2 linked regions of the Caenorhabditis elegans genome follow. The protein of the gene in region 2 purifies or fractionates together with the protein of the main gene of each other region. This does not show direct contact. Each region holds a gene or a part of one and is shown on either strand. Other genes may lie near its edges.

The links. Proteins that work in one complex are often made in the same cells at the same time.
Region 1: the proteins of C27A12.4 (region 2) and vab-7 fractionate together in Caenorhabditis elegans (co-fractionation; one large-scale study listed by BioGRID). This does not show direct contact.

Annotation. Positions count from the first base shown.
Region 1 is NC_003281.10:10,918,452-10,926,364, reverse strand, and holds vab-7 (Homeobox protein vab-7), read right to left. Parts: upstream 6,022-7,913; 5' UTR 5,980-6,021; coding exon 5,938-5,979; intron 4,779-5,937; coding exon 4,640-4,778; intron 2,649-4,639; coding exon 2,491-2,648; intron 920-2,490; coding exon 729-919; intron 567-728; coding exon 353-566; 3' UTR 324-352; downstream 1-323. UniProt on the Caenorhabditis elegans protein: Transcription factor. Involved in motor neuron fate determination and maintenance, acting as a transcriptional repressor to counteract gene activation by transcription factor unc-3 in a subset of motor neurons.
Region 2 is NC_003279.8:6,033,771-6,038,417, reverse strand, and holds C27A12.4 (C2H2-type domain-containing protein), read right to left. Parts: upstream 2,971-4,647; 5' UTR 2,931-2,970; coding exon 2,884-2,930; intron 2,219-2,883; coding exon 2,093-2,218; intron 1,856-2,092; coding exon 937-1,855; 3' UTR 861-936; intron 782-860; 3' UTR 534-781; downstream 1-533.

The DNA.
Region 1 (7,913 bases), on a different chromosome or scaffold from region 2:
GACAAAAAAGCGAAGAAAATACAAATTTTGTGGAAATTTAACAAAAAAAAATTGGCAGATAATAGGCAAAAATTGAGGTTTTTAGGCCACGAAAAGTGTTTTTGGCTATTGAAAAAGCCTAATTTTAGTCAGAGCGATTTCTAGGCCAGCTATGTAATTTTCAGGTCATCTTAGAATTTTCTAGGCCACTTTAGAATCTCCTAGGCCACCGTTGAGTTTTCTTGACCACTTTAGAAATTTCTAGGTCGCTTTAGAATTTCCTAGGCCACCATGAACATTTTTTAGGCCACCTGGCTAATTTTGTCCATTTTTCCCCTTTTTTTGCCGATTTTTTTTTCCAAAAAATAGTGAATTAATCTGTAGAATAAGGCGAGGGAGAACTTGAGGAAGGGCTATTTGAAAAATTTACAGGTTTTGATTCATCATCATCACTTGAGGTATTCTTCGATTTTGAGGAATCGTCTGAATGTGGAGAAGATGGAGATTTTGTTGAATTTTGTGATAAAAATGATGGAAAACCTAATGGTGGAAGGAATGGAAGAGATCCAGCTGCTGATGGAGATGTGCTGAAAAATATTTGGAAAAATTTGAAAAAAAAACCTTAAATAATTTATTTAGCTAAAATTTTTTCACAATTTTATTTTGGTTTTTACGAAAAAAAAAGTTCCGATTCCAAACATTTCCAAAAATTGTGAAGAAACTTCAATATTGCCAATCTTCCAACTCACCTTGATCCATTATTCCCATAAGCTCCATTTCCGGGACCCGTGGCTCCGAATTGTGAGGCGGCAGCTGTTTTCATCCACATTTCATATGCAAATGGGTTTAACATGTAGGCAGCCATTTGTGGAGGAAAGGGCCACGCGAGACCACCGACTCGTTGCCGTTTATCTTTCATTCGACGATTTTGGAACCATACCTGCAAGAAATATTTCAGAAAATTCGACTAAAATCGAGAGTCACTTGCGAGTAATGGCCACTTGGCCACTTTCCACAAGTTTATTTGAAGTAGGGCAAATGAGAGTTTTCTAGGCCATCAGTAAGTTTACTAGGCTACCTAAAAATTTTTTGGAAAGTTCACAAAAATTCAAAATTTTGAGTCATGTCGGAAATGCATCGAGAAAAATTCCTGGGTTATGTCAAAGGTTCCTCGACCACCGTTTAATTTTCTAGTTCATAAATTATAGTTCCTAGGCCACCAGAAAATTTCCTAGGCCATCTGAACAATTTCTAAGACATCTGGAGATTTTCTGAGTTTTTAAAGTTTCCTGGATAATCTTAGGAAGTTTTAGATTATTTTGAAAAACGCTAGGTCATCTCAGAAAATTCTAGGCCAACAATTTTATTTCTAGGACACTGGAAAAAACTAGGCCATGTAATTTTCTAGGATTTCCTTTCATCTCTTCCCCCGCCCAGAATAAGCCTAACCCTAAGCCTAATAACCCTAAATAGCGTCAGTGGGGGAGCGTTAGCTCCAAGTCTAAGACTAAGGCTGAGCCTAAGCCTAAGCCTTAGACTAAGACTAAGCCTAAGCCTTAGCCTAAGCCTAAGCCTAAGTCTAAACCTAAGCCTAAGCCTAAGCCCAAGCCTAAGCCGAAGCCTAACTCATAAATTTCTAACCCTTCTCCTTCTATACTAATTCCCCCGAAAATCATATTGTAACTAGTTGAAGAGGCTACGAAGTTCTAAAAGTATGCCAGTGGGAATAAAAGGCGCGATACTCCGAAATCACTCATAGGCCCTCCGTTTTCTCCTGTCCTCTCAGCTTTTTCATTTTTCAAGGGAGATTGATATGCAGAAGAAGCAGCGGGTCCCGCGTGTATGTCATGGGAAATGATTTGGATTTGACGATGACGGCGGCAGGGGGACGGGGGTACGGTAGCCTATTATGATGCGGAAATCTGCTTCTAACTTTGTCAGTTTTGTAGCTATAAAAATGTTTTTAACTGATAAAATGTAGAAAATTGAATTTTGAATAATTTGGTAGTTGATAATTTTTTGATAGCTATGATATTTTCAGAGATACGAACGTCCAAAATGTGTTCAAACATGTGAGTGGCCTAGAATTCTCAATTGTGCTCTAGAAAGCTTAACGTAGTCTTAGAATTTTAATAGTGGCCTAGAATCCTTACTGATGACCTAGAAAACTTAGTTCTAGTTTTAAAGCTTCAGCCGTGGCCTAGAATCTTCAGTGGTAGCCTAGAATTCTCAATAGTTGTCTAGAATCCTTAGCGATGGCTTTTTGATGATCTAGAAATTTTAAAATTGGCCTACAATCAACTCTGATTACAAAGAATCCTCAGTGATGGCCTAAAGAGATCGTGGTAGCCTGGAATTCTTAGTGGTGGCCTAGACTTGTCAGTAATAGCTAAAACCGTCTGTAGTGACTTGGTCTGAAATATTATAGGTCGCCCAAAGAGCTATGATGTAGCCTAGAGCCATTTAATACTCTAGGAATTTTCATCCAATTTTTCTCTATTTTCAACTTACCTTAATTGTACCTTCTGGAAGATTCAACTCTGCCGCCAACTCGCCACGTGTCTTCCTGCTAACATAGTTTTCCTTTGCGAATTCCCTCTCAAGCCTCCCAATCTGTTCTCGTGAAAAAGCCGTTCGATACCTCCGCATTTGACCGTCGTCTCGGTTATCTGAAATTATTATAAATCAGCATTTCATCAACAGCTTCCCGACGACAAAAACACGGAGCAAATTATGTTTTTCGTCATACAGAATTAAATAATTAAAAGTGCTTTAAAATTCATCAATAAACGGCACAAATTGACTCTTCTTGTTTTTCATTATTAGCATCCCGGCGATGCGGAATTAATACATGCATTTCTTGATGAAAAACATAATTTCCACCCATTATCCTAGTGAGAGGGATTATGAGAGGAGATGGATGGCCGAGTTTTGGAATTCTAGGCCATGAGAAGGTGAAGGAGTATACTTTTGTGGATCGCTCATATGACTGGAGTATCCAGGTGATTCTAGGTTATGGATAGGGTGTTGTGGATCCCTCGAAGGAATATGGCCCATTCAAAAGGTTCTAGACCGTTAGGGAAGACTGTTGTTAACCCTTCAGATTTTGAGGGGAAGGAGGGGTTTGTGAATTCTAGGCCATGTGTAAGGAAGGGTGATCTGGACAGTTCTAAAAAGTGGTGGCAGAATTAGAAGTTTCTAGGTGACCAGGTCAAGCTTACAATATGCCGATCTAAAGGAAAATGGCTCAGATTGAGCTTTCTTGGTCATGTGGAACTAAGAGTGTTGTGGACACCATAACGGAACTTGGCCGGGTTTGAGAATTCTATGCTATTAGTATATGATGGTGCTTTGGGCCCTATAGATGTAGTTAGATTAGGTTGATTAGGCAAAGCAGAAACTCCCGGCTTCCTATACTTATCAGCGGTATAGTTGTCTCCTGACCAAAAGACTAGCTAGTCTAAAAGCCCACATGACATAAGCCTGGCCGAGCTTGCAATCCCTAGGCCAGATGTACCCTTCCCACTTTCACCCGTGTACCTGCCCGGCCGGAACATTGTGTCCTAATTAAATAATTGGTTCACTCCCCTTTTTACGACTAAGGGTGTCTATGAACTGATTCGACACGCAACACCAATTACATGACACATGGCAACATTAGGGCGATTGACTTCGGGGGAGAGGGGGAAGAGGTTAAGCACATCAGAGCATGTTTCCCAGTGTGTCTATCAGTGATCATATAACCCATTCGCAACACTAACATAGATAATTGACCACTAAACGACGCGTCTACAGTACCCCGAGAGGGGGGGGGGGGCAGGTGTAAAACAAAAAGAGAGAACATTTACGATATAATAGCCGACACCAAACAATCCTCATTCACACTCAGTGATTGTGTCGAAACCGCAACATTTACACATCGTTTATGATGACAGGGAGCTGCGTGGCCTAGGAAAAAGTCTGGCCTGGAAAGCAAAAATTCGGCCACGCCATGTTCTAGGAGATATGAAGCCTATTGAAATTGTATTTTCTAGGCCACAAAGAGAACTTTCAGGGAGGAGCACATGGAACTATATTAGCCCTTTGAAAGTTCATGGCCGTGGTTGAGTTTTCTAGGCCATCAAGAAAAGGGAAGCTAGTACAGCTTTGTTGAAAAAGCATTGGCGGGGATTTCAAAAGATCTCACTCAGTAAAAGTTGTGACGGGAAAATTCAAATTTTCAGAGTAGAAACTTTGGCGGAGAAATTTTTGGCGGGGAATTTGAATTTAAAAAAAACCAAACTGTAAAAACTATCAAAGTTAGAATGTGGAAATTTGTTTATACTTTTGGCCTAAAAAAGGCAACCTCAGTCACTTCTCGGAGGTAACTGTAATCTTTCACGCGTTGGTTCTAGCCCGTGGCCTAGAAAAAACTCGGCCACTGCCTACCCGCTCCACTACTCCCACGTGTCATAATAGGTGCTCATTGTCCATTTGCTCGTGTCAACCTCATCCATCCGCTCACCCCCCTCCACCTCAATCAATCTCCCTCAATTTGTCACCCCCACCCAAATACGGGACTAAATTAGTGTTCAGCGAGGAGATGAAGCTAGGGGAAGAAGTATTCTTGAATAATTATGTCCCTTCTCATCTCGGGCACACACACACCCATTTTTCTTACCATACGGATGATGACGTCCGGCGGCTGCTGCTGCTGCCGCTGCGGCCACCACACCCATCGGGTCATGATGCTGCTGCTCAAATGGAGGGGAAAATGAGGAAGCTCGAGATGCGGCGACCATCTCCACAAGTGATGGGACCTGGAAATGAGAATTCGAATTACGAGATGTTTTATGTGTTCGGATGGGGGGGGGGGGTGTGTCCTAGGTGATGGGGCTAAAGTAGATTTTATGCTCAACGTGGCCTAGGGACCCAAAACTAGGCCATAACAGTTTTGGGGTGTCAGGGAGGCTTTACTTAGAAACTAAGAGTTGCATCATCCTGGAGCTGTCCGGGGGTCTTCAGAGTTCGGCTAAAAGACTTTAGGGTGTCGAAAAAGTTTCAATGATATATTTTTTCAAATTTTTCTAGATTAAAAGAGGTAAAAACAACTTTTTTTATGTAAACAGTTTTTGATCTGAAAATAAAATCGACATTGTTTTACTAGACATAATTATTTTTCAACTACAATTGGAATTAATTTGAATACTAGAAATAACTGAAGTTTGGCTGTCAAAATAGATAATTTTCGGTAATTTCAACTTTTCAAAAAACGATTTTAATTTTTTTTTCTGTATTTCTTAAATCAAAATTTCAAAGTATTAATAAAAAAGAAAATAGTTTAAAGAATAATTTAAAAACTTCTAGCAAAACAGATTTTAAAAAATTAGAATTTAAATGTTTCAATAATTCAAATAACTATGCAACTATGCATTATAGCTGAGATTATGCAATATGACACTTTTTGATTATGCAACCTAATTAAATTGTCCATAACTCTGCAACTAATGCAGTTATCAAAAAGTTGACAACTAACAAATTATAGCTTAAAACATAATGAACAAATTGTTTGTTGAAAATTTTTTGCTTGCATTATTACAAACCAAGTTATAACCACTTTTAAACACTTTAAAAAAATTATCTTTTAAGCTTCAAACGCCCGATAATCTTGAAAATTGTGAAACTGAATGAAACTTTTACAGTTATCAAATAAAATTTTAGCAACATAAATCTTCTAAACTTTTATGATTAGATTAATAATTTTTCATTAAATTTTATTGCATGAAATTATATAATTTTTTATTTCTACCTATTACAGTTATCAAAAAAGTTGAAAAAATCCCTAAAAAACTACAAAAATTTAGAAACTTTAATTTTAATGGATCTTTGACAACAAGAAGTTTACAGACATTAAATAACAGTTCTACAAAAGTAAAAAACATGGTTCTCAAAACAAAATACAAAACAAAAAAATCTCACCTTATTAACCCCAATAAGGGACTCAATATCAAATGATTGCATGCTAATTTTTAAAATTTTTGATAGTTTTTTTTTCAAATAAAAGAACTTGAGTACTAAAACTCAAAGATAAAGGAAACAATAGAATAAGGCGCTGGGCGGGGCTCAACCTCTCGGTGACTACGGTGGATTTGGCCACGCCCCACGCTCAGATGAGAAGGGCGGCCAATAGAAGAGGGGAAGGAGTGCTGGAATAGAAAGAGACTTTAGATAATAATCTTTTTCCATGACGTTTGAAATTTAAAATACGGCAGATTTGGCATTTTTTTGGAAATTTAATATTAAGAGAAAATGTATTGCTTTTCAAAAACATCAGGTCATTTTTTTTTTCAAGTAAAACTTCAAAAAACCAATTAGTGGCCGAATTTTTGAGTTTTCCAGGCCACGTAACCAAGTAAAGGTTCTAGGGCCCTTACAATGAAGAATATTACACAATGATTAAAATTATTTTGCAGACAGTCTAATTTTTTTTCTAGACCATGTTTCCTAATACCCACGAGGTACCTGCGTGAAAGTTCCCCAATAACGGTTCTCAAAAAACTTCAGTATTCTAGGCCACGTGATCAAGCTAAAGTTCCCGGCCGTTACGATGAAATTCAAAATGAAAATTTTCGAAAATTTCACGGAGGTGGCCGAGGGTTCAAATTTTTTAGGCCACAAAGCAACTGGAGCCCCTTAGCTCATTCAATGTTTCATATTAATATACAAATTATTTTCTCTTTTACGGTGGCCTAATTTTGATTTTTCTAGGCCATGTGCTTAGCTAGGTGAAACGGATGAAAAAACTTATGTAAGTATTTTCAACATAAAAATTCAACATTCAAATTGACAGGTGGCCTAACTTGAATTTTCTAGGCCACTTTTGCCGAGCTCGGCAAATTCGGCAAATCTCTTTTTTCAATATTTGCCGAGCACGGCAAATTCGGCAAATTCGGCAAATTCGCCGTGCTTAACAAACTCGGAAAAATTTGATATTTTTTTATATTTTTTGGAGCACCAAAACTACTGAATTCTTAACACACATCTGGTTTCTGAATAAGTTCCGCGTAGAATGTCTGTTTAAGCATCAAAATAGCTCAATTTTGTATCATTTTACTAAATTTTTGGCTAAAAAATCAATAGTTTTAGTCAAAATTGTACTGTCAAATTTTTGACGTGTGCGGCAAATTTCGAAATTTGCCGAGCTTGGCAAATTCGGCAAATCTACTTTTTTGAAATTTGCCGAGCTCGGCAAACGGCAAATTCGGCAAATTTGCCGCACACCCCTGGTATGTATGATCTCACCGTTCTAATAGAAATTCAATTTTGCGAAATCAGAGTTTTGAAGTTTCTTGGGATTCCCATAACCTTTTTTTCAAAACTTTAAAAGCCATCTACACAATGGCCTAGTTTTTCTTAATTAGGCCACAAAGTCAGATGGAAACAAAAAAGTGTTCCTCCCCATCAAAAAGTGATGAAAGCCTCATCAAAAGTCATTAAGTGACATGACTAAGCAGCTCTTTTATTGTCATTGCATGTATCTCCCCTAAATGTTGCATCGGGAGAGAGAGAATGAATCATTCATCAGGCATTCCGCTCCCCCTTCTCTCTATTTCATTACTTTTTGGTATTGATACACTTGAATACATGTGGAAGACAATACAAAATGGTTTAATGTTTACTCTATTTGTAGGGCATGTCCCTTCAAAAGTTGAGTATAGGCAGTGTGCCTGAGAACACTGGAACTTCCGAACCAGGGGTGGGCCGCGGTTGCCGAAAATTTTAAAATTCGGCAATTTTGAAATTCCGACATTTTTTGTCCGATGGAGCGCGCTTTCATTGTTTTTTTTTCACTTTATCTCTTCATCAAGTTTTCCATCGCGCTCCATCTACTCAGAAAAGAGAAAAGACTTTAAAATCTAAAAACGTTCACTATTCTCAGTACTCACAATTGCAGT
Region 2 (4,647 bases):
CGAATTTTAGGATCTGGAAAAATACACAATTAATGGCAATAAGGAAGATTTAATCATATAAACATAAAAATTTTAAAGATTAATAATATTTATATGAAAGGAAAAATTCAACAAAAACTGTTTTAAATAGAAGAAAAAGTCAAATATTGATTTTTTGCGAATAAAAAATAAAATTGAAAATAAACAACGACACTCCGATATCCCGTCTTCGAAAGAGCGCGAAATTTGAATTGAGGGTTTAATAAATATAATTCTTTGCAACGGCTGAAATCTTGTTTCTTAACGAGACAGAAGAAGAAGTAATGAATAGATCATTGCCATCACATCTTCATTTCCATTCAAATATTGGAGTTTAATCTTTAAATTGATAAAAGCCGTTCGGATAACATACGAGTAGAAAATGTTCATAGTGAAACAGCAGCACGTTGATCATGCAAATTCATAAGGAAATCAGGAAGTTTTACGAGTCTAAGAAATAGGCGAATGTTTTGTGTTGTGTATTGAGCGTTAGACAAGGAGATTTACGTAGATAGAATATTTTACTTTTAACGTAGATAGAATATTTATTATGAACATACGAGAAGGAATGTGAATAAAGGCTCAATACTCGAGAAATCGAAGAAAAAGAAATTGAGATGCAACATGGAATTTAATAACGATCTCCGTGATGGCGTGAGCGATCTCTTGAATAATCCCGCTTTCTTCTTCTATAGTCACGACGATGGTGATGCTCTGAACGTCTGGGGGTCCACTCATCTGTCGAGGGGCTTCGGCGACCACGCTGTGAAATTTACAGATAGATTTAGTTGGTTTTTTCGCATGATCGAGGAATAAACTAGGTCATTTTGCAAATTACTCACCCTCTGGTTTCTCAATGGCGATTTCGGTGTATGTTCCCTGTTACGTGGCTGGTGTCCTGCTCCACGTCCCCGTTGATTAGATGGAGACATCGGCGATCGCCTTGAGGGGCCCTCCTCCCGCTGCTCGGAGACGTCTGAAATGTTTGAAATCGAAACGATGGTCTGGGACCGCTTTGCTTCCGGAGAGATGAGGTTCCGGAATCAGCTTGTCCACAGCTAGAGTTGACAATGGTGCACCGAAAGACGAAGAACTCGCCCTATTCCCAAAAAAGTTCCCAAAAGCTGGCTGGGCCAAGCGAGGAGTGGAAGGACCTGTAAAGTCGAAGCTGCCTTCTCCAGATCTTTCCTCGACGGCTGGGATTGATGACCCGGAGACCGCACGATCGGAGAGGAATCCTAGACGTGCTGGTGCAGATGAATCTTCTGGCGCCTTTCCACGTGAGCTGGTAGGAACAACATTCTCTAACCGTGACATAGTCACAGTCTTGATGAACTGAACATCAGGAGATGAGGAGCCATCTCTCTGAGGCCCTCTGGAGTCTTTTGGGAGCTGGCGTACTTCGCAAAAACCCATATTTGGTGCAGGGCTCCTTGTAGTAACCTCTTCTTTAATTGGAAGAGCTGATGTGGAAGAACTGTTGAGCTCTACATCGATTTCCGGAACCTGGTGGCTGTAGGATGTTTTCTTCCTCGAGATCTGATTGAAACACGGAAGATCATCATAAGCAGGAGTTCCTCCAGTCCTCCGAGTGTTGTGGGCATAATTGGAGGAAGTCCTATGCTTATGGTATTCTTCCTTCGATATAACCATAAGAAATACGTTCAGCGACCTATGACGATCCACCGATTTATCTCTTCCTATCGGAGGAAGTACTTCCATTTCCGCGGTCTTCGAGGTGCACAGGTCTCCATTGGTGACGCTGTGATGGTTGTAGAGTTGGCTCGGATCCGTGAGATCCATGCAGCACTTCTTGCAACGGTAGAGGTAAGTCCTCCTGAAATTAAAATTATGTAATATTACAATGTAACATGGTGGTATAGAAAATGAACCAAAATCAACGTTATTTTTCTCAAACTTGCAAGAAATGGCTGAATCACATTTGAATTCCCGCGCAATTGAATGCACTAGTTTCAACATTTTTGTGTTTTCCGGCTAATATTTTCTTGTCCCTTCAGATAGTTGTCTAGTCCGTCAAACACTCTTCCATTTTTGCATTTTATGAAAAACTTACGTGTGAGTGCCCATGTGTGTGATGCAGTCAGCAAGGGTCCCCACGAACCCACATTCTCTTCCCCTCACGTCCATGGGGTACTTGCAGTACATGTGCATTTTGTTGGGGGCATAGGACGGCTCCGAGCTGAAATATAGAATAGTGGGAATACTATTTTTTTTCCTTAGTTTGGTGAGTTTCGAGTTGAACAACTTTGCTGCGAGACTCAGGAAAAAAACGAGAGAAAAGCTGACACAATTCATTTGTAATATTCCCCACCTAAATGAAAAGCACTTTTTCCGAAGTTTGTTAGGGGTTCAGCAAACATCTACCTTAGATCGGGTGACAACAGTCGAACGTGATATCTCACTATAATAGTACCGTAGTTAATGGGAAGGGTACGGTATGTTACATTAAAATTACTCATGGATACGGTGCGGTAAAATGGGTTAATGTAGTAAATGGTATGGTAGGTTAAGTTAGATTTATTTACGGTATGGTACAGGGGTGTGCGGCAAGTTCGGCAAATTCGCCGCACCCCCCTGGTATGGTGCTAGGGTGCACTACAGATTACGGTTTTAAGAAGTACTGTAGGTTAAGATACCTTTCTATAGGGGAGGCCGGTTACGAGTACGGTAGGCTACGGTTTGATACCATAGGCTAGGATACTATACATACTGTAGGGTAATATTGGCTACGGTACTTCCAGGTACTATGTATATGTGATTGTGAAATATTTCAAGATACTATGGTACTGCAGGATATATAGGCTACGGAACAATAAGTAATAATACAATTTTTATAAAACTTACATCATTCTTCTAGCCTCCTTATTCATGTGGTCGCCAGCTCGCATCATTTTAACATTAGATTGAAGTTGTGGTCTCGATGAACTGAAATTTAATTTCAACAGGTAAAACTTTCAAAAATGTATTCGGTGACTCTTTCCGCGAAAGGGGAGGAGCTTCAGAGGAAAAATGAATCAGAAATGCCCTTTAGTGGAGTGAGAAGTGAATATAACCTGAGAAAGAGCACTAACATTTTAATTTTCTATAATCGCCGAAAAATCGGATGCTTCGAAATTTTTAATATTTTTAAAAATAATTTTTAGTAAATCAAAAACCTATTGAAGTAATTTTTAGAAATCTCAAATGTATTTTGGATATTTTAATCTTTGAAATACAAACAATTTAGATTTTTAGATTTTTTTGGGTAACATCAAAATCAAACAAATTGAAAAGTTTTACTACGAAAATTTCAACTGTAATATATATTTGGAAATTTCGGAAAATCGGCTAATTAGAGAAAAAATGAAAGAAAGGATTACTAGAAACACTAGAAAAACACCAGGAACATATACTTGAAACGTTCAAATGTAGGATTATTGTTTTGAAAAATGATGTTTTAAGTGCAAAACCAATAGGACAAATGGTCTGGAAAGAAAAAATGGTCTGGAGAACAAATGGTCTGGAGAGTTCTTACTAATTTTATTTTTAAAAATACAAGCTGTTTTGTATCTAAAAATTCAAGAAAAAGGAATTGCTCAAGGCCTAAAAATATATATAATTTATCAAATAACAAGGCAGTGTGTAGTGAAACGAAACAGAGAAATAGAGGGTTAGACTGTTTGGAGAAAGAAGCCGGCGTCTCACGCCACACCTCCTCCTTGGCAGAGAAACAAAAAGAATAAGAGAAAAGGAAGGAAGGAGGAGGTATAAGGTTATGTAAACAATCAAACATTTGAATTTTATTTCTTCAACTGTTTTGATAAGAGTGATGGAAGAGAAATATTTATAGGATAAGAATTGATGTGTCAAGCATGAGATTTTTTGGTAAATTTTTATTTTGAAGTATTTTTAGGAAAGACATATTTCTTATTCTCTTTATTATGCCTACTTACTAGATACAGTATTAAAGACTGCAATACTAGCTCTCGACCGAGTTTTATCGGACTTTTCTAATAGTAATAAGTGAAAAAAAAATGTAAACGAGTTCAGGACAGGCTGGGGATTGATAACATTTATTAGATAAAATATGACAGCTCAATAGTTTTTAATAGTAGCTACTAGGGTAAGTGGAAGGAGATAAGATGAGAAATTAATAATTTCAGTTTGTCTTGTTTCCGACTACGAGCACCATCAATTTCAATAACAAACAACAGAACAGAATAATATGCTTCTTTACTGTAATATAGGAACTGTCCAAGTTGTATCCATCGACTTCTCGGCAAGAGTTTGGAGGGTGCGAAACTGATCGACGAAATACGGTAGTTATTGTTCCATTTACGCTGTAATGTGTGGATCTATTTGATTCCCTAGTAAATCTCATTGATCTTTTCGATTTTGAATACATCCAGGTCGTTTTGTAATATTATCAAATGTACAATTAGATAGCCTTCAAGCCAATTCATCAGCTCCTTACAAGCAAATAGTGCTACATCAACTCATGTGTAACGGTCCTACATATTGATTGTTACACATATTTTCATCATTGTGTAATTTCATCAAGTGCCTTTTGTATAAATACAGCAAGAAACTTGTATGATAATCCGGAATGTGCTGCTGGTTGATAATTAA